4 linked regions of the Arabidopsis thaliana genome follow. The protein of the gene in region 4 interacts with the protein of the main gene of each other region in a pairwise test. Each region holds a gene or a part of one and is shown on either strand. Other genes may lie near its edges.

The links.
Region 1: the proteins of AO (region 4) and RAP2.2 interact in a two-hybrid assay, tested with the Arabidopsis thaliana proteins (one large-scale study listed by BioGRID).
Region 2: the proteins of AO (region 4) and BCAT-2 interact in a two-hybrid assay, tested with the Arabidopsis thaliana proteins (one large-scale study listed by BioGRID).
Region 3: the proteins of AO (region 4) and OZF2 interact in a two-hybrid assay, tested with the Arabidopsis thaliana proteins (one large-scale study listed by BioGRID).

Annotation. Positions count from the first base shown.
Region 1 is NC_003074.8:4,736,641-4,741,139, forward strand, and holds RAP2.2 (uncharacterized protein), read right to left. Parts: upstream 2,497-4,499; 5' UTR 2,361-2,496; coding exon 2,060-2,360; intron 1,815-2,059; coding exon 976-1,814; 3' UTR 935-975; intron 833-934; 3' UTR 506-832; downstream 1-505.
Region 2 is NC_003070.9:3,286,579-3,291,027, reverse strand, and holds BCAT-2 (branched-chain amino acid transaminase 2), read right to left. Parts: upstream 2,942-4,449; 5' UTR 2,774-2,941; coding exon 2,708-2,773; exon of another isoform or gene 2,598-2,707; coding exon 2,524-2,597; intron 2,427-2,523; coding exon 2,249-2,426; intron 2,168-2,248; coding exon 1,991-2,167; intron 1,909-1,990; coding exon 1,777-1,908; intron 1,700-1,776; coding exon 1,601-1,699; intron 1,526-1,600; coding exon 1,409-1,525; intron 1,347-1,408; coding exon 1,251-1,346; intron 1,173-1,250; coding exon 1,060-1,172; intron 979-1,059; coding exon 864-978; 3' UTR 557-863; downstream 1-556. Other genes in the region: AT1G10090 (Early-responsive to dehydration stress protein (ERD4)), read left to right, coding at 1-52, 142-456; BCAT-1 (branched-chain amino acid transaminase 1), read right to left, coding at 4,191-4,305, 4,382-4,449. UniProt on the Arabidopsis thaliana protein: Converts 2-oxo acids to branched-chain amino acids. Shows activity with L-Leu, L-Ile and L-Val as amino donors and 2-oxoglutarate as an amino acceptor, but no activity for D-isomers of Leu, Ile, Val, Asp, Glu or Ala.
Region 3 is NC_003075.7:14,391,311-14,395,184, forward strand, and holds OZF2 (Zinc finger C-x8-C-x5-C-x3-H type family protein), read right to left. Parts: upstream 2,072-3,874; 5' UTR 1,994-2,071; coding exon 923-1,993; 3' UTR 539-922; downstream 1-538.
Region 4 is NC_003076.8:4,766,512-4,772,706, reverse strand, and holds AO (L-aspartate oxidase), read right to left. Parts: upstream 4,445-6,195; 5' UTR 3,965-4,444; intron 3,592-3,964; 5' UTR 3,575-3,591; coding exon 3,447-3,574; intron 3,268-3,446; coding exon 2,916-3,267; intron 2,787-2,915; coding exon 2,544-2,786; intron 2,462-2,543; coding exon 2,405-2,461; intron 2,321-2,404; coding exon 2,240-2,320; intron 1,865-2,239; coding exon 1,803-1,864; intron 1,728-1,802; coding exon 695-1,727; 3' UTR 554-694; downstream 1-553. UniProt on the Arabidopsis thaliana protein: Catalyzes the oxidation of L-aspartate to iminoaspartate. Can complement nadB-deficient E.coli mutant. Plays a role in stomatal immunity.

The sequences.
Region 1 (4,499 bases), on a different chromosome or scaffold from region 4:
GTGTCATAGATTGGAAAACTAGTTTTGGTTTCTCTGTTATCCATAGTAAAATGTTGTCTTATGATAATGGGAATTTCACGGTGTACTTGGGAAAAGAATTAGTCGCAAACTCGTTGATTGAACAATGAATCTTCATCTAGACAGCCTTAAGCCTTTAGTTACCCTACAGAATCATTTTGATGATTTCCAATATTTTCTTGTAAGCAATGTGGCCATGTGGGTGTATTATTATTTTTGTATTTTCATCAAATGGTTCACGAGAAAGTTTACAGGACAAAACTCAATTCTGTCTCATTTTTCCTTATTACCAGGCACGTTCTTTGTCTGGTTCGGTCTTGTTTCCTGAAGCTTTTTTAAATCTATTGTTTTCGAGGTGTACGAAGAATCTTTCTAATTGCTTTTAAAGTGAAAGTTGTTTGAATTATTCAAAACTAATGAATAAATAAGGCATATTTCTCAAAATCAATCAAGCAAAGTTAGGCAGAGAAGATTCATTGAACAGATAGAGAAGTTCCAAAGAGACTTTATTATAATGCTAAACAAGTTTGGGGGTACAAAACATTACACTTTCGAGGGTGATGATACGCTATAACAAAGATCAAAAAGAGAGCTCAGAAGACTAATAAACTGTCTTTTAAATAGAAAAGAAATACAAAAATGAAAGAACAAAACAAGACTTAATAGATAGATATTATTATACCTCTATTTACTTCATCACACCTTTTTTATTTCGACAAAATTAAAAGAGAAACTCTCTATGGAAGAGAGGCTCATGAGATACCAATGCATAGAGCTTGAGGTGTGACTTGTACCATCCCCCAACAGCAAAATCCTGAAACAACCAAAAAAGAACGACAGAAGATTAATCCTGAAACCAACACTTAGGTTGTTTGTCTTTACGATTCAACAAGAAGAGCTTGTAACTGTAACTCACCAACACAGCTTTATTTACAAACTAAGGAACCATCGATCACTTCAAAAGTCTCCTTCCAGCATGAAATTGATCTCATCTAAGCTCCATAGCTCCACTGGGTTTTCCTCTTCCTGAGTCACAGCACCAGCATCTGCGCCAAGCATGGCTTCCACTTCTAGTGGGGTGTCCCACAAGGCGTTGTCAAGGTATGCCATCAGATCGTCTGACTCATCAGAGTTTGGTTTGAGCTTCTTGGCTGCATTGGTTTCTTCAACAAATGATGCTTCGTTGTTATTGACAAGCATTGAAGAGATCTCGGGTGTTTTAGGGCCGTGATCACTCCACCCGAACTCAGAACAGTCGAAGGAGTTACTGCCCTGATCGGAACTGAAATACTGGTATCCATTGTTACCTCCAGCATCGAACGAGTTTGTTAACCCAAACTGATTGTTGTACATCTGAGGCTTCTCTTCCATGAAACTCATATCACCAAAAGAGTTGTCAAAGGAGTTGTTGCAGTACTGCTGACTCAGATGTGTTGGCTGCTGAACCAAAGTTACGCTTTTGTTTGGTTTAGCCACTGATTTCTGAAGATTATTAGTCTTAGCACTAGGACGTTTCTGGGATACGACGCTAGGGTTCTTCTCCTCGGGAAAATTCACCTTAGCTTTCGTGCCACGGATTCTGCGTGCTGCAGCATCATAAGCTCTTGCTGCTTCCTCAGCAGTGTCGAATGTTCCAAGCCATTCTCGGGAGCCTTTTCTCGGATCACGGATCTCCGCAGCCCATTTTCCCCAAGGACGCTGCCTAATCCCTCGGTATTGATTCTTCCTCTTCCTCTTAGAAGATTTCTCAGCTTGCTCAGCGGACTCTACAGTTTTCTTGGCATATGCTGAACCTACTGTAGCCAAACACACACAATATCAATCATAAGCTGAATAGAACAAACAAAACTGCATCCCTTCAGGAGCTAAGGACGGTAAGCTGGTATATAATCAACATAGTAACAGCAGATGGTTACAAGACCAGTGAGATCAACCAATTCCAAAGACTAAGCTATAAACTAAGAAAAGCCTCTGAAAACCTAAAGATCTAAAAATTTCATGAGCTTTCCAATTCAAATAAAAGTTGAGATTCGAATCAAACCCAAATATATACCAGTGGAGACGAAAGCGGAAGCTACGGGCTTAGTAGTTGCGGTGAAGACGAAAGGCTTAACATTGACGAAGACATCATCATCGTCTTCGCAGTCAAAAGCCGAGTCATCCTTAAACCCTTGGAAATCAGCTTCGAAATCATCGTCAAGATCGAAGAAATCGGATCGCTTATTCGATCTCTTCTTTGAAGCTTTCACTTTGTTTTTCAGATCCGGCCAGATAAACTCGTTAGTGACGCGGAGGGACCTCGGCGGAGGTATGAAATCGGAGATTATAGCTCCTCCACACATGGTGGCTTCACGAAAGCTCTACTCTTTTTAGGGGTGTAAATGATCAGAAATAGAATCTTCGGGGCGAAATAATAAATATTCGATTCTTTGGGGTTCTCTTTTTTAGTTTTTCTTCTTTGTCTCGATGTTACTCTCCAGAAAGAATGAGAAAGGGTGGGTCGTATATTATATAGATTGATTCTTTACTATTATACCCTTACCTGTGACTCGTAATGGCTGTTATGTGTTTAAGCCTTTAAGGTGATTTGTCATGGTTTGGGTGGCTGAATATAATTTTACAGTTTAGTGCTTATTATATAATGAAAAAATGCAATAATTGGTGTAGATTCTTTTGATGTTATCACTATATATGGAAGATAATCATGCAATGAAAATATCTAATTTTCATAATCCACTAGTAGATACTAGATAATCATGCATTGAACAAATGTTCTCATAATTAGCTAGTAGACCAAACGTGTTTTACAAATATATTGAAAAGCTATGTTTTGGTATATTTGATTATTTATCAACCCTTTAAAATATGTAATATATGGTTTTATAACAAAATAAGTTAATACAAGGTAAGTTGCATCCCAATGTTGTCATATTTGACTGTCCTTAGAAATGTCAAAACTCAAAAGTAATTTCCCAACTTTTATAATTGACGCTTTTTGAACATGAAACACGTACGAACGTTCTAAAGTTAGAACTAATTATTCTTGTGGTTTTCAGTTTTGCATGGTTTATGATCTGGAAGTCCAATACAATCGTCCGTTGTGAACCTTTTAGTGTGTAACAGGGAATGATTTATGTAAAAAGATTCTACACATTTTGACAGCATAGTTTATGTCAAAGAACAAAAATTCAAGGAAAAAAGAAGAAAAATTAATACACATCTTTAGCCATTATTAGCAATGACATCTTCCACGTATTAGGCTAACATATATAGATGCTTCTAGCTAGCAGTAGAAAAAGATAAATTTTAATCCCAGATAGTTGCCAACTTTCAAGTAAGTAAACAAATCAATCATGTGTGTTAGAATCGACGAGATTTGTTGAGATTTCAAAATAAATGAACCCCATCCCTAGATGATATTATCATGGAGTGGCAATATTGGAAATACCAAAAATGAGCTCATCTATGGGCGTGTTTGTGTTACACGGAGTTCATTGAATCTTGAGACTTGGAAAAGAGATAAAAGAAAGACAAGTTGAGCAAGTGGACTCTACAAGGCTTTGCGTTGCCCGAGTCCCACCTTGTTACCACACGCTTAAGTCTTAACGCACATCTTCAAAACTAAAAGATCATCAACTATTTATTGTTAATTGCATATCAATTCTTCTAAATGAAAATTGTCCGGTGTATCTTAACATGTTTAAGATACCCGTTAATCTTCATAGTTTTTTCGAAATCATATTCCGAAGAGTTGAAGATGGATAGTAGTATACGTTTGTAGTAAATCAATGTGTATATCTACAAAAGATAAAATAATACCCCCAAAAATCCCAAAAAAGAAATAAGTAGAGAAGATAAAGTTAAGAATGCAAAAGGAGGTAGGACCATTATCCTTTGGTACGATTGAGACAAAGCTCCAAAAATAGTTGATCTCAAGAAACAGAAGATGATGTAAGTTTTGAAAGCTACCCATCCGTATCCCTGCAATTATTTTTGTTTCCGTTATTAAATGAGCTGTAGAGTATAGACAAGCAAAATTTAAAATAACGAAAATATTTAGAAAAAGTAATTAAAATGAGCACTATTTTATTATTATATCTTATGCTAGGAAAATGTAAATGAAATTATTTTGTTCATTTTTGAATGGTAGTAGGTGATCTGCATCTAATTTTAGATGGCTGTAAAAATCTAGAAAGGTTCCAATCGAATATTTCAATCTCTCAAATCTAAAGGCTTTATTTAACTCCTAATCTGGTTGTCTGCCACTACCACCAGTTAACTACACACCTGCACTACACGTATCTTCTAGTTGAGGCTATAATCGAATCATCATTCTTTAACCCAATTTTATATTACTATCTAAGAATATACATCTATTTCTCAGCATAAAAGATTAGGGGGAACCCATCATTTTGACTTTGGCTTATCCGGAAAATTGGATGATCATGATTCATGATATATAATAAAATAAAATCAGCATC
Region 2 (4,449 bases), on a different chromosome or scaffold from region 4:
TGAGTATTGCCGGCAAAGGTTTGCGCCCATATTCCAGAAATATCCAGCCGAGGTATATATACATATATATATATATTACTCATCTTTTCATAACCTCGATTTGCATCTCCTGAGAGATATTGATGTATGAGTTTCTTTCAGATTCTTATCGCTATGGACAGAGCAGATGAGATGACAGGAAAGATGGAAGAGATACATAACAACTTGAAAGTTGCATACTCTCAGATACCAACGTGTTCTGAAGAATCCAGCAAAGCTGGTTGCACTTCTCCTTGCTCAGATCAGGAGTTACCAGATTCTGAAGAGTTGAAGCCTGAGAAAGAGAATCTTAAAGCTGATTACATATGGGAGTTCCAGAGAAGTAAATCTGGTCTTGATCTTGAGGTGAAATCCTGTCCCAGTGCTTCCCCAATTCGTAATTCCCCAGGGTTTGCCGAGATCTACAAACGAACATAGATACTTGAGTTACAATGTATACTTTATAACTCTGCAGATGAAAAGGTGTTTTTGCAGTTGAGTTACAATTTTAGTAGTTGAAACCCTTATGGGTGATGAAAGTAAGAAGTGGGGAAAGCCATTGAAACGTATATACAGTTTTGCCTCCTAAAATGAAATGTAAATTTGGAGTTACTGCAGGAGGAAATGAAACTATCCTTGGAAACACTTGTCTACAAGTACAATAGACGATTCTTTTCTTTGTCATAGTTTTGTGAAAGACATTGACTTTACGATATAGAAATGAGCAAAAGAGCTTTCTGTTTCTATCTCATATATATGTTTATAGTGTTCTTCATTGTCGTGTATACACAGCTTAAAATGCAGAGTAATCTCCTTTGTGGCAAAATATTGAAGATTGTTATTCTTCAGTTGATATCTGTGACCCATCCCTTGTTATCTTCAATCAATCCTGTCTGGATACCTACGAGGACTGAACGCAGTTTCTGGCAGACAGATTCATCCCCGGTTTTATACTCTACTCTGAATGTTTCAGAAAGATTACATCAGTCCATTTCTTTGCTTAAGGCTTGAGTAAAACTTGATTCAGGCATTGAGATTTACCTTTTTTCCTGATATGTGATAGTGCCCACGGGAGCAACTACTACAGCAGTTCCGGTGCAAAAAACTTCATCTGCATCCATTACTTCATCCACATGAACTGCCTTCTCTACTACCTGATCATAACTCAGGTGTGAAACTTAGCTGAGTTTAGTTTTTGGGTGTTTAGAGTGATTCAATCTTATCTGTGTTACCTGATAACCTTGATCACTTGCGATCTCCATCACACTTTTCCGCGTAATCCCTTCAAGAATTGTTCCATTAGTTGCAGGAGTTGAGATTGTCCGACCCTGAATCAATGATACAATTAGGATGCAACAAAGAGACATGGAGACACCACAATATATCTTACCTTGACAACAAAGACGTTGCAAGAAGAAGCCTCCTCTAAGTACTTCTTCTTGACAGAGTCGAGATAAAGAACGTCTGAAAACCCCCGACTCTTGGCTCTGCTCAGTGCTTTCAAAACCTACAAACACGTGGTTTATCAAAACTCTTTTTCTGACTCTGGTCTTTGAGAAACTAAGTTGGTTTCAACACTTACTGGCGCATAATTTGTGATGCTCTTGACGCCTCCAGCTCCACCAGGAGCCGCTCGGACATATTCTTCCTCAACATAGAGGTTAAGAGCAGCCATCCCTTCCTACAAATCAGTGAACAAAACATTTGCTAATCGTTCCATCGCCAAAAAGCATGGACATGCAAGAGTATTGTATATACCTTGAAGTAGTTACCAACTGGAGATGCATAGACAATGAATGTATATTCAGGTGCAGGACCTAAACCAAGTATTGGACCACTTCCCATCAACAAAGGCCTAATGTACAAAGTCCCTTTCCCTGCAGGAGGAACCTGAACAAACACATCATCACTTATCAGATCCCAAAAACAAACCTCTTCAGAAGAAATATACGTCACAAGAAAGCGTTTTTACCCAACGTTTGTTTGCAAGAGCGGTTTGTTTAACTGCATTAACAAACTGATCAACCGAAGGAGAAGGCATGAGCATCCGTTCAGCGCCAAGCTTCATCCGGATAGCGTTGTGATCCGGACGAAACAAAAGAAGCTTCCCATTTTCTTTCCTGTATGCTTTTGTACCTTCGTATATCGCCTGCAAAGAATCCCAAAACCTCTATTGATCATACAGTTGAGAAACAAATCAAGAAACATTTGGGGGTTACGAGATCCTTGCCTGTCCATAGTTTAAGACTCCAGCAGAAGGACTTAGCTGAATATTCCCATAGGGACTAAGTTCTCCTTGAGTGAATTCGCCGTCTTTTGAGCATTTCATGACATACATGTAATCAGCTGGATTTAGACCAAACCCGAGATTATCCCAATCCAAATCCGCATATACATCATCTCCATTTCTATATGATACAATTACAACAAATTTGAAACAGAGCTTTTTCCAATGGTAACAAAATATCTATATGACCTGGCTGGATCATGAAAAAGAGAACTTACTGATAAAGAGGTTTCTTACGCTCTTCTCGCAAAGCCGATGCAGCTTGTGCGTTGTACTTGGCGAAAGTTTGTAGCTATTTCATCAGGACAAAAAAAACAGAACATAAAACATGTTTGTATCTGAGATCCGAGTTATGTCTCTAAGTAAGTAATCATCATTAGATTGTAAGAATCCAGTTTATACCGTACGAATATGTAAATGAAGAGGTAGAACCAGAGTTTTGCGTAGAGATGTGATTGTTTTGATCATCTTCTTTTGCAGAGCCTCTGTTTTAATTCTCTTGATTTCAATAATAATAAAAAAAACAACAAAATAAAGAAATGAAGAGAGAATTTTGTTGAATGATATACCGAAAAAGAAGGTGGAAGAGAAAACACAAAGAAGAGTGTCAAATTAAGTATCCAACACGTAAGTGAATGCGGAGCTTATGTACAGTGTCTGCTTTTATCTTGGCAAATCGTTGAATTTGTTTTATTTTTTTTCTTATTTTTATCTTTTAGTGGTAAGAGTTCTTATCTTATTTTTGTGTTTCTTTTGCTTCGTCACTTGTGTCTATCTGCCCTGATCAGACAGATCTAGACGTGTCTTTCTGAAACTAGATTTTAACGAAATCAACGGACTATTGTTCTTTTCTCGTTCTCTTATGGGGTAAATAAATGAAGAAAATTAGTGGTGTATCTTCAAAATGGAGATTTCTATTTTTGAACTGTAAACTATTGTAAGTTGGTATAAATATCAATTTAGCAATGTTTCTTCGGCACGCAATTACCTAAAGTATACAAACAAATACTTGACGAAAAAACAAAATACAGACAAGTACTAATTTCAGTAATTTTCCATGAGATGTGAAATAGTAAACTAGTGATGTGAAAGCCACGTTGGACCAAGAGGTCTTTGTCGGATAAACAATTTTCTTTCCATGTCAATCTTTTAGACCATATTGTTGTCTTTTCAACGTCTTTGTCCGTAACTACCCAAATGGGAGATAAACACGTTGTGGAGATTGACAGCCACGTCAGTCTGAGAACTTTTCTTATCTGATAACAACGTTTTTGCTAAGATGGCTTACTAATGAATATTGATGTCCCTTTCCAGTATCGTCGTATCACTAGTGTCATCGACTATTAGTACACACTTGACGCGAGCACACTCCTTCGTTTTCTTATAAATATCTTTAAAAAAAAAAATTCAAATTATAAATATACCAAACCTAGTGGAACAATCAACGAACCTCATTTCTTTGAAAAATCTTAAATCGCATTTGTCGTGTCTTATCAAAGAATCTTAGACAGTCTTGTGTGTGGAATCTACAATATTTACAAAAAAAAAAAAGTTTCGACAAAATTGTTTTTTTTCTAAAAGCGAATATACCGCCGTAGAGTCTGGCAAATAGAATCTGAGGAGGCTGATCATACAGCAATGGTATTTTGAACCAATGGTGGCAAAATGCCACAAAGACAAACCATTAGATTACATATCCTGACCTTGAAGTTGAAGGTCTTTAGTTTTGCTTTTGTCTCTTTGGAAGAGTGAAACAAATGTTTAATACTAATACGATGTGGTGATATATCACAAATTTATGTCACAAATTTACCAAAAACTATTTCAAAAGCTTTTGATGGGTGATCAAGAGAGTGCAACATTATTTATAGGATATGAAAGTAACTTAGGCAATCTGCAAAACCCAATCTTTAGTGTCTTGGATAGAACCAGTTTGTATTCCGACAAGAATAGATCGAAGTTGCTGTGTAACAATCCCATCTCCAACTTTGTACTCAGTCCTGCAGATTATTTATCAACAGATAAATGTAAAATTCTAAGCATATGTATACATGTATCCAGAGAGGAAGAAGAGACCTTGTGTTCTTAAAAGTGATGCTTCCAACAGAAGCAACTCCAGCGGCAGTTCCAGTGCAGAAAACTTC
Region 3 (3,874 bases), on a different chromosome or scaffold from region 4:
TTTTGTGATACCTAACTTTAGACCCACATGTCATTTTTGTCATTAGTAAAGTAAGTATATTGGTTTTTGCCGTAACTGTCCCAAAACCTCTAATGATAACAAATACTATTCCAAATGTCAAATACCAAAATATCTCAATACCTGGCTACCTGCTGACAAAAGAAAGAAAAAGAACGCAGCCATTCTGTGATGTTGTCAAGATCGGTTTAGATTTCCGGTTATCAAAACAAACATTGGTGCCGGTTTAGTTAAAACACCCGACTTTTCTTCGCGATTGCAAATGATCTCGTTGGTCAATGTCATTTTCTTATCCATGCTATCGCCAAATCGCCAAATTATATTGGATAAAGTCACAATCGAATGATTCGCCCAAACGCTACCGAAACCATCGAACAAGTCTTTTATTGGTTAATTTTTCTTTAACAAAACCTTTGGTAAGTCATTTACTTGCAACTTATAGGTTATTAACTCATTTGGATTTGACGCGTTCAAACATTTAACACAGTCAAACTCCTAACAAGAGATTTCGACGTTAAACAGATCATCAAAACTTCAATTATAACAAAACTTCACAACAAAGATATTTATATTGGATCAAGAAAAACTAGGGAAACACAACAAAGTATTAGATAATAATTTGCATTCATTCATAGATTAGTACCAAGTGGTTACAATCTAACATTATAGTCTTATAAAACACGATTATATTAATACTATTTCATAATTAAAACCCTAAGGCACATCTATACAACGATCATCTTAGAAAAATCAGGCCCCAAAATCCATAATTAATTCTTATTAGCAGATAAAATACGAGATTAGTAAATAAAATAATATGAACACACTAAGATCCCTTCCTCTTTTCCTTGGAAGATATCCAAAAAAGCCAATGAGACTTCGAAATACGGTCAGATTTTTTTCTTTACATGAGCAGGTCAGATACCCACCCGACATCAGGAGCCTCACCCAAATTCTGATCCGGATCCTGGGCAACTCGATCCATGCAATTCTCCTTGTGCAGTTTCTCGCGCATCTTTTCTCGTAGCTCACGACCCGACTCAACGACACGCTCCATTACGGGTTCTTCCTCCAAACCATACTCCCAAATATCCAGATTCCCTGGTCGGGTCGGTGTTGTAGGCAGAGACTGAAACCCAGGACCCAAGATCGATCCACGGGGCGACCCGAATCCGAATAAAGGATTGTTACGAGGAAATGATTTTACCGAATTAAACTGTAAATTCCTAAACGAAGGAACGACGTCGTTTATCGAACAAGACCCGAGAGATCGACTCAGTGACTGAGTCATCGGAGAAGACTCCGAGTCAGCTCTTGGACTCATCGGTGGCGAACCAGAAACCGGAGAAATCGACAGCTGAAATGCTCTAGCACGAATCGGAGACGAAACGTCAAAAGAATCAACTCTGTCAGGGCTCCGAGTATGTAAAAACCTAAGCTGATCCGGTGAATGAGCAAAGAAACAAATTTTCCGGAGACAGTTACCACCGTCTTTACACGGCTGAGTACGGTAACGAGCTGGATGAAGCCAACACTCGAAAACACCATGAGCAAACTCACAAGAGTCACCTTTCTTGCAGCCACCTTTACGAAAATCAGGACAAGCCGTACCAGAGTAATGGTACTTCCTCGGATCTCTCCGGCGAGCTTTTTCTCCGGGATGAGCGTACGGACACTCCGTCCAATCATGACTCCGGCCACGAGCACACCTCCTGACTTTGAAATCGTACATACGGAAATGGTCGCATGAGTAAGCATCGATTGGTGAATCCGGACCCAATAGATCCGGGTATGACTCCGGATCCGGTTCGTTAGACGGCAAATAACGCTGCAACCCCGCCAAAGCTTCAAGCATGCTACAATCTGGACTATTCATCACCGGAGAAAAAAACTCCGACGTTGTAAGCTCTTCAAGTACCGGCCATGGAGGTATTTCAACAGTGGGATAAGTCCTGCGAGTTTCTCCGATCATCATCTTCTTTAATACTCCGGTGAACAATAAATCACATTAGTCGACGAAAGAGTTCTTTTTTTTTGTTTGTGTTGTTTGTTTGTAATACACCGGCAAAGCTACTTATGTAGTTGAAACACTTAACCGTGGTTTGGTTAAAATTATTTAACTATGGTTAAAGATATTAGCATAGGACTAGGTTATCGTAACAAAGCTGTGAGATAAGCATGTGAAACAGCGGCTGGAGACTTATCCACGAGATAGACGTACGTGGACCGTTTCGTGATGTGGACGTTTATCAAAATGACTTTGACGAAGTTTAAAGTAACCGAACTGTGAGCGTAAGGTTACTTTAGGATTATTAGATACGTTGAAGTCGGTCGAAGTTTAGATTCTCCGAAAGACGACAAAATAGATAATCCACAGTTTTAGTTTCATTAATTAGTCTATCCATTGCCTTATTACTTAATTTGTTTGTTTAATTATTCGTTGCATGTATCTCTTATTTTTTATATGATTCAATATAATAATTTATTGTTTATTATTGTCATTTTGATTTGAATATTATTATATATATCGAATGAGGTTATTGTATCATTTATCTAGCAATAAAAAAAAAGTTGTTTAATAATTTGCTGTTATCGAAAAAAATAATTTTATTTTTGATATGATCTGATAATTTGTTGTTTAGTATTGTCATTTTGAACCTAATATTATTGTATCTAAATCGTCAAAACAATTTCATTATATCACTTATTTAGCATCAAAACTATAAAAAAATTGTTTAATAATTTGTTATTATCGGAAAAATAATCTTATTTTTAATACCAAAATATCTGATAATTTGTTGTTTACTATTGTTCATTGTGATCTTAATATTGTTATATCTAATTCGTCAAAATGATTTTATTGTTTCACTTATCTAGCAACAAAACGACAAAAAGTTGTTTAATAATTTATTGTTATCGGAAAAAATGATCTTGTTTTTGATATGATACAAAGATATATGATACTTTGTTTATAATTTTCATTTTGATCCAAATATTGTTGTATCTAAGTTGTTGAAATGAATTCATTGTATCATTTATCTAACAACAAAACGATCGAAAATTATTTAATAATTTATTGTTATCAGGAAAAAATAATCTTACGACAAAAAGTTGTTTAATAATTTATTGTTATCGAAAAAAAAAAATTAATTTTTGATATGATTCGAAGAATTCTCATAATTTTATTGTGTATTGTTGTCATTTTAATTTGAATATTATTATATCTAAGTCAAATGATTTTATTGTATCACTTATAATTTCATTGTACCACTTATTTAGTAACAAAACGACAAAAAGTTGTTTGGTAATTTGTTGTTATTGGAAGAAAAAAAATATCTTACATAGTTCTCAAAAATTCGTTTTCAATTTTCGATTTAATTTTAGCAAAAAAAATTAGAGAAGAGGATAAGAAATGTGTCGGATGAAGAGGACATGTTGGAACAGATTTGGAATAACGTTTAAAGACTTTATAGGGGCAAAAACATTTATGTTTCTTTGCTAAATTTGGAAGCAATTCCATATCCTCCTAAACAAAATCGACCTCTCATTTATCCTTTGTTCTTTCTTTTTTGCACTTTTCTTTTCTTTCATATAAATGTATTTTCTCTTTTAAATTTTTATAAATTTGACAATTGTTTATCAAACTTATAGTTCAATCAAACAATTGACATGGTCAATATATTTGAGTGGTGGCGATATTAACATGTTGAATGAATAATAGAGAAATAATAGAAACATATTTCTATAAATCAATGTTTCCTAGATCTAACGAAGAAGACAGGTTGCGAAATATCTAAAAACGTGTAGCTCATCCGATTCAAGAAGCAATTATTATATTTCTTTATTTGGAAGATAG
Region 4 (6,195 bases):
TTATGGTGCACCATAGTACTTCTTCACATTGTAATTCAGGATATCTTTATTCTTTGTTAAATCAAATTGCACGAGCCAAAACTATCTCCTGAAAATACCCTTTGAATTTCATTGTAGCAGAACGGCGATGGCAGCTGCAGAGCAGGCAAGACTTATGATCTAGCTGGTTTCTGGATGTAACTAGTAACTAGGCTGTTCTAAAGCGACATTGCAGAAGAGATCTCTGATTATTAATGGATGTGCCTTTGTGCAGCCTTCTCAGATCACACCCTGGTCTAGTTGAAGAAGACAGGAAGAATGAATTCATGTTTGGTCTGGTCATGGAAGCCATACCCGAGCTTGGAGCTCGTGATTTCCTCAGGAGAAGGATAGAAGCTTTTGGAATGATTTACTCAGAAAAAAAAGGAACCGAGGATATGGAGTCAGTGAACACAAGACTGTTCTCAATCCTGCTTCTTGCTTGGGAAATCCACACTCACAGTTGTTTCTTTCATTCAGAAAGTCATCAATAAACCATAACAAAGGAATTGAAATATGAATTACCAATATGATTGATATCTCAAATGAATAATTTATTTCCTTTTGTATTACAGAGTGTCAGAATCAGAGATTCCTTTTGAGATCCAAATTTTTTCAAATTGATACAATAATCAGAGAGGTTTGGATTCAAATAAGAACAAAAACTCCTGCAGTTTTAGCAATCAATAAGTGAGCTGCTACTTATATTCTGTAACCGCCTTGAGCTCCAACTAGCTGTTGTAGGAGAAGACGGTAGAATAATCGTCGGAATCCGCTTGCTTTCTTCCACAAAAGGAAAGTCTGTCATGTAATGAAGACCTCTGCTTTCATGTCTAGCTAACGCGCTGCTCACCACAAGCTTAGCGCAACAGAACAAGTTTCTCATCTCACAAGCTTCAAGAGCTACCACTGTTTGTTCCCATCCATGTTCAAACAAAAATGTTTCCCATTTTGCTTCTAGCTCTGCGATTTTCCTCTCAGCAGTGGTGAGCCGAATTGTCGATCTGACAATACCAACATACTTCCACATTACCTCCTGAAGCTCTCTTCTCACTTCTTTAGTCAAAGCTATAATCTTTGCTATTACTTCATCTCCTAGCAATCTAGCTGTCGCAACAACAGGCCTTGTCCATTTCTCTGATGCGCATACATCAAGTCTTGTGCGTTTCATGAGCTCAGTCGAAGGCTGAACAGCCCGTCTCGCGAAAACCAGAGCTTCTAAAAGCGAGTTACTAGCAAGACGATTTGCCCCGTGGAGGCCTGTACATGCTACTTCACCTGCTACAAACAATCCAAGGACATTGGTTTCGCCTTGTAAACCAGCACGAACTCCTCCACACATGTAATGGGCTGCAGGGACAACCGGAATAGGCTGACGGGTGATATCCAGACCGTGTTTAAGACATTCAGAAGCTATGTTCGGGAAATGGGCAAGAATCTTTTCTCTTGGCTTATGGCTTATGTCAAGTAACACATACTTTTCGTTTCGTTTCTTAAGCTGGTCATCAATACTTCTTGCAACCACGTCTCTTGGAGCAAGCTCAGCTCGTTCATCGTAAACAGGCATGAATCGCTCCATTCCTAGATTATAGAGGATGCCACCATCACCTCTCACCGCCTCGGTGATGAGGAACGCGTTTTCCCTAGCAGTTTGTAGTTTGATGGGAAGACCTTCGTCGGCTAGGGCAGTAGGATGAAACTGCACAAATCTAACCAAAAACAAATACAAAACATAAGTTTATTGTCAACAAGTTTCTTCAGTCGGTTTTTCGGTGTTCACTTACTCCATATTTGAGATCACAGCTTGAGCTCGATGAGCCATCGCCATCCCATCTCCAGTAGCCACCTATACAAAAACCATGTCGATAATTAAAATGGAGCATAATATATCACTTTTAGAGAAATATCATTGCGACTAGCACAACCGAATTTAGCAAAAAAATGTACTCTATGACTAAAATCTCTTTGTTTCTGCAACTGTTTGAACTATTAAATCTAAAACTCTAATGCAGTATGTTTGTGTATACCCGTGATAATTTCGACATTTTCTTTTGTATTCAAGGGATAAATCACATTACTTAATCAAAGTTTCATTTTTGGATATTTCCCATAAACACACAAAACTGTTGTGTTGATCCTGCACATTCTTTCTTCTGATAAAATTGGTAAAATGAAACTTCCATAGAGCTTTGTTAAAAAGAGAGTCTATAGAAAATGTTACCAGAGGATTTGTGGTTGATGGATAGATATGCCCAGCTCCACCTGAAGCAAGCAATGTCACCTTCGATATAAAGCGTACTACCTGAAGAAACATGAGTTTTTTTTACATTACAATCTAAGATATAAGGTGAATGATCAAACCACCAGAAACAAGATCTTTGTGTACCTCATTAGTTTTGATATTCAAAGTGTCCACACCATGACAAACTGTGTTCAAGCCATCCTGTTAAGATACAAAAAGATATGATCTGATAAGCCAATTGATCATATATGCACATGTGTTTTTCAAGGGTGTGAAGTGGAACCTGAGAAGTGAGCAGATCGATTGCAAAATGGTGTTTGAAGACAGATATGTTGGGATCATTAAGTACAGCTTCAAGTAAAGCTCTCTCAATCTCTCTTCCTGTCATATCAGCAGCGTGAACGATCCTACAATGCGAGTGACCACCCTCTCTGGCCAAATGCAAATTTCCATCCTCGCCGTGATCAAATGATGCTCCCATTGCAATCAGTTCACGAATCCTTTCAGGCCCTTCAGTACACACAACCTGAAAAAGAACATTCAGATACAGAAAAGTGAGACAGGTTTAGACCATTACAAAATGCTTATGCACGAGACTAACACAAGCACTTATCAAACAGTTTTGAGGTAATGATCAGCAACAAAGGGAACTTACTCTTACGGTTTCTTCATCACAAAGATGAGCACCAGCGACCATAGTGTCCCGCATATGACTTTCAACAGAATCCAAAGGGCATAACACAGCACTAACACCACCTTGAGCATAGTTTGTGTTACTCTCATGAGGCTCATCTTTGGTAATCACTGCGACTGTTCCTTGCTTTGCAACTTCTAAAGCATAACGCAGACCCGCTACTCCACTACCAATCACAGTGAAATCATAATACTTTGTTGAAGAAGATACCGAAACAGCCCTGATAGGTTTTGAGGTCTCACTGATGGGGGAAATACCACGAGAGTAACAACCACATCTCTCAGCTTTTAGAGCCTTAAATACCCCACTTGACCTATATGCACACAGAGATTATAAAAGTTTGAGTCCAGCATGAGAAACTATAGGTCTAACTAGTTAAAGTTCTACATGAGAACAAAGAGCAAAATCATAAATGAGAAACATGAACCTCAAAATGCCAATTGCTACACAAAAGGGACAAAATTTGGGATTAAAGATTAAAAGAAGTGATACCAAGAGGGCTCTTTGAATGGATTTGCCATGAAAGTAGAAGCAGAACTCCATGAAAAAGCTTGTCCCCTGTAAACCTGCCCCGCAAGATAGAAATTATGAATGTTTCCAGTAGAAACATGAGCCGCCATTTCCGACCTTAAAGCTCCTACAAAAACATGAAGATTGTTGTCATAAGAAAACATCATCAAAACAAAACAAGAAACATTCTTTCTGTACAATATAAAATCAAAATGCATAGATCCATCATCCATGATGCTCAAAATCCAAAATTTGATTGAAGAACGATGAGAATTGAGGACAATGTGTTACTCAAAATCCAACAATAACCTTTTTTATATCGAAACTTCTGAAATGAACAACGATAGAAAAAAAGACATAAGAAATATCGCAACCGTTGTCTGAATTCTGGAATTTAGGAGCAGAGGAAAGAATTAAAAAAAAATGTGTAGACTAGATCACACAAAATTCAGAATCTACGTTGAAATGAAACCAAGTAATGAGAAACGCAGAAATCTTACGGAATCACGGGAGGGAGCTCTCTGATCTAAGCACGAAACGGAGAACCCACGCGAGTGTAGATCAATAAAACGTGATTCAGACTTGATTAAAAAAACGACTTTTCGCAAAGAAACAATCAAAATTACGACGAAGAAGAAGAAGAAGAGGAGAAGGAAATGAACGAAGACAACACAAATTCTGGTAAGAGTGTTTTATGTGGTTTGGTCGTCGAGAAGAGTCCTTGAAATTCGCGCCTTCGTTTTGTGTATGGGAGCCTCCCCCAAGTGGTGTTGTTGGTCTTTCTTTATTCTTCTCTTTTGTCACTTTTTATGTCTTTGGGATCTTCATTTTTCATTGGCCTTCTTCAGTTTTTCTTTTATCACATAAAAAAAAAAGTACTTCTATGAAATAAACTTTTAATAAAAAATGGAATTTATTACTGAGTTAAAAAAAATTGGAATTTATTACTAGGCGTGGATTTTTAAAAAATTAGTGTATAAGATGATAATTTACTTATAGAATATTTCCCAGCTTTCTTCTACAAATATACACATTAATAAAGCCATTGACCCTACAAATATTCAAGTTTATTAGCCCTGTGGTTCATAATTTTTTAATATTAAGAACATTTATATATAAATAACAACGGTAGCTCAAGATGTGTGACCATGATTTTCCAAAACTAAAACTAAAAAAATAAATAAAGCAAATTAAATTTAAAAGAATTCTAACAACTTGTATAGAACTTTAAATATGTGTTCATACATGCACCAAGCATGACCGACTAGAAGAATCATGGAAAAAGAACATTCACTTTTCCATGACTCGTGGCCAATGCAAATCTCCAACGGCCACAACTATTTATTTCTATAACTATAATTTCTGGAAAAAGAAAAAAAAAATGGAGAAAAACTATTTGGATTTTGGAGTCTTCTTTTGAGTCTTTTTTTATACTTTTGATTTGTAAGTGGTGGCTTCTGAATTTTCCATCAGACAACTGAAAAAAACCTAACGAATAATAAAAATCAATAATATAAGACCGAATTATGATAACCATTCAAATGACAACTGAAAGAAAACAAATTAATTAAATAATAAAATTTCAAAAACCACGAATGCAATTTAAAAGGGAAAATGTTGGCATTTTTATGGCTATCATAATTTCCTTCTTTTCTAACTAAACATAGTGCTAATGGTTTGCTTAACTAATCAGGTATAACATCCACAATTGATGACATCCTCATTTGCTTCTATCGGAATAAACTGATTATCATTTGCTTCATCATCTTTAGACCTATGCTATTTTGGACCAGTCATGGTGTTGATGTATGCATCAAGGATGGCCTTATAACTAGAATCATGGGGAAAAAAGAACAATCACTTTTCCATGAGCCTTGCTAAATCTCCAATGGCCACAATTATTTTATTTTCTACAAAACTTACTGGAAATCACTTTGAGTCTTTTAGTTTTGACTACCGTTTTTAAGGGGAGAGATGACTTCTTCTGGATTTTTTATCGGACAACAAAAACGAATAATTAAAATTGGGCTTTTGAAAGGCGGGCCCAATACTGACCTAAGATTTTGCATGGAAATAAGCCCTGGATTTTCCAGAGGCCTAAATTAAACCCGAATCATCATGCAATTAGAATTGTTCAGCCCATAAATTTTTAATTTTTTCACACACATGAGCCGATGGCATTTCGTTGTGCTTCTTACTGAATTTCACGTCACGACTAAAACCTAGAAAATCAGCGAAACACATTAGCAAATACTAATGTTCGTCTCGTAGTTAGTCAATATCTTATTGGTAAAACTCGCACATATGTAAAAGAGCAGTGTCCTAGTTGTTCCTTCTAATGATATAAGATCATTTCCGCAAATCAAATTGCAGTTTCACCACGTAAATTAATGATAGAACCTCAACAATATAATTAGTATCAATAAGAATTAGCTATATTTATCATATTATATAATTAACATAAATAAAGTCTATTTAAATATATCATTTAGTTCGTAGCATAAATCATTACATGATTTTGAAAAGATGGTAAACTTGTGAATCACAAATTCCTTGGCCATGTATAGAATATCAAACCTGATATTAGAATCAAACAAAATTAAATGATAAGATTGTGAATAAATGAGTGTTAGGTACTTAGGTCCATCAAATTCCTCAATCATACATTCTACGACATAATTAATTATAACATTTATATGTAAAAATACACACTCCTCTTATATAGTTATGA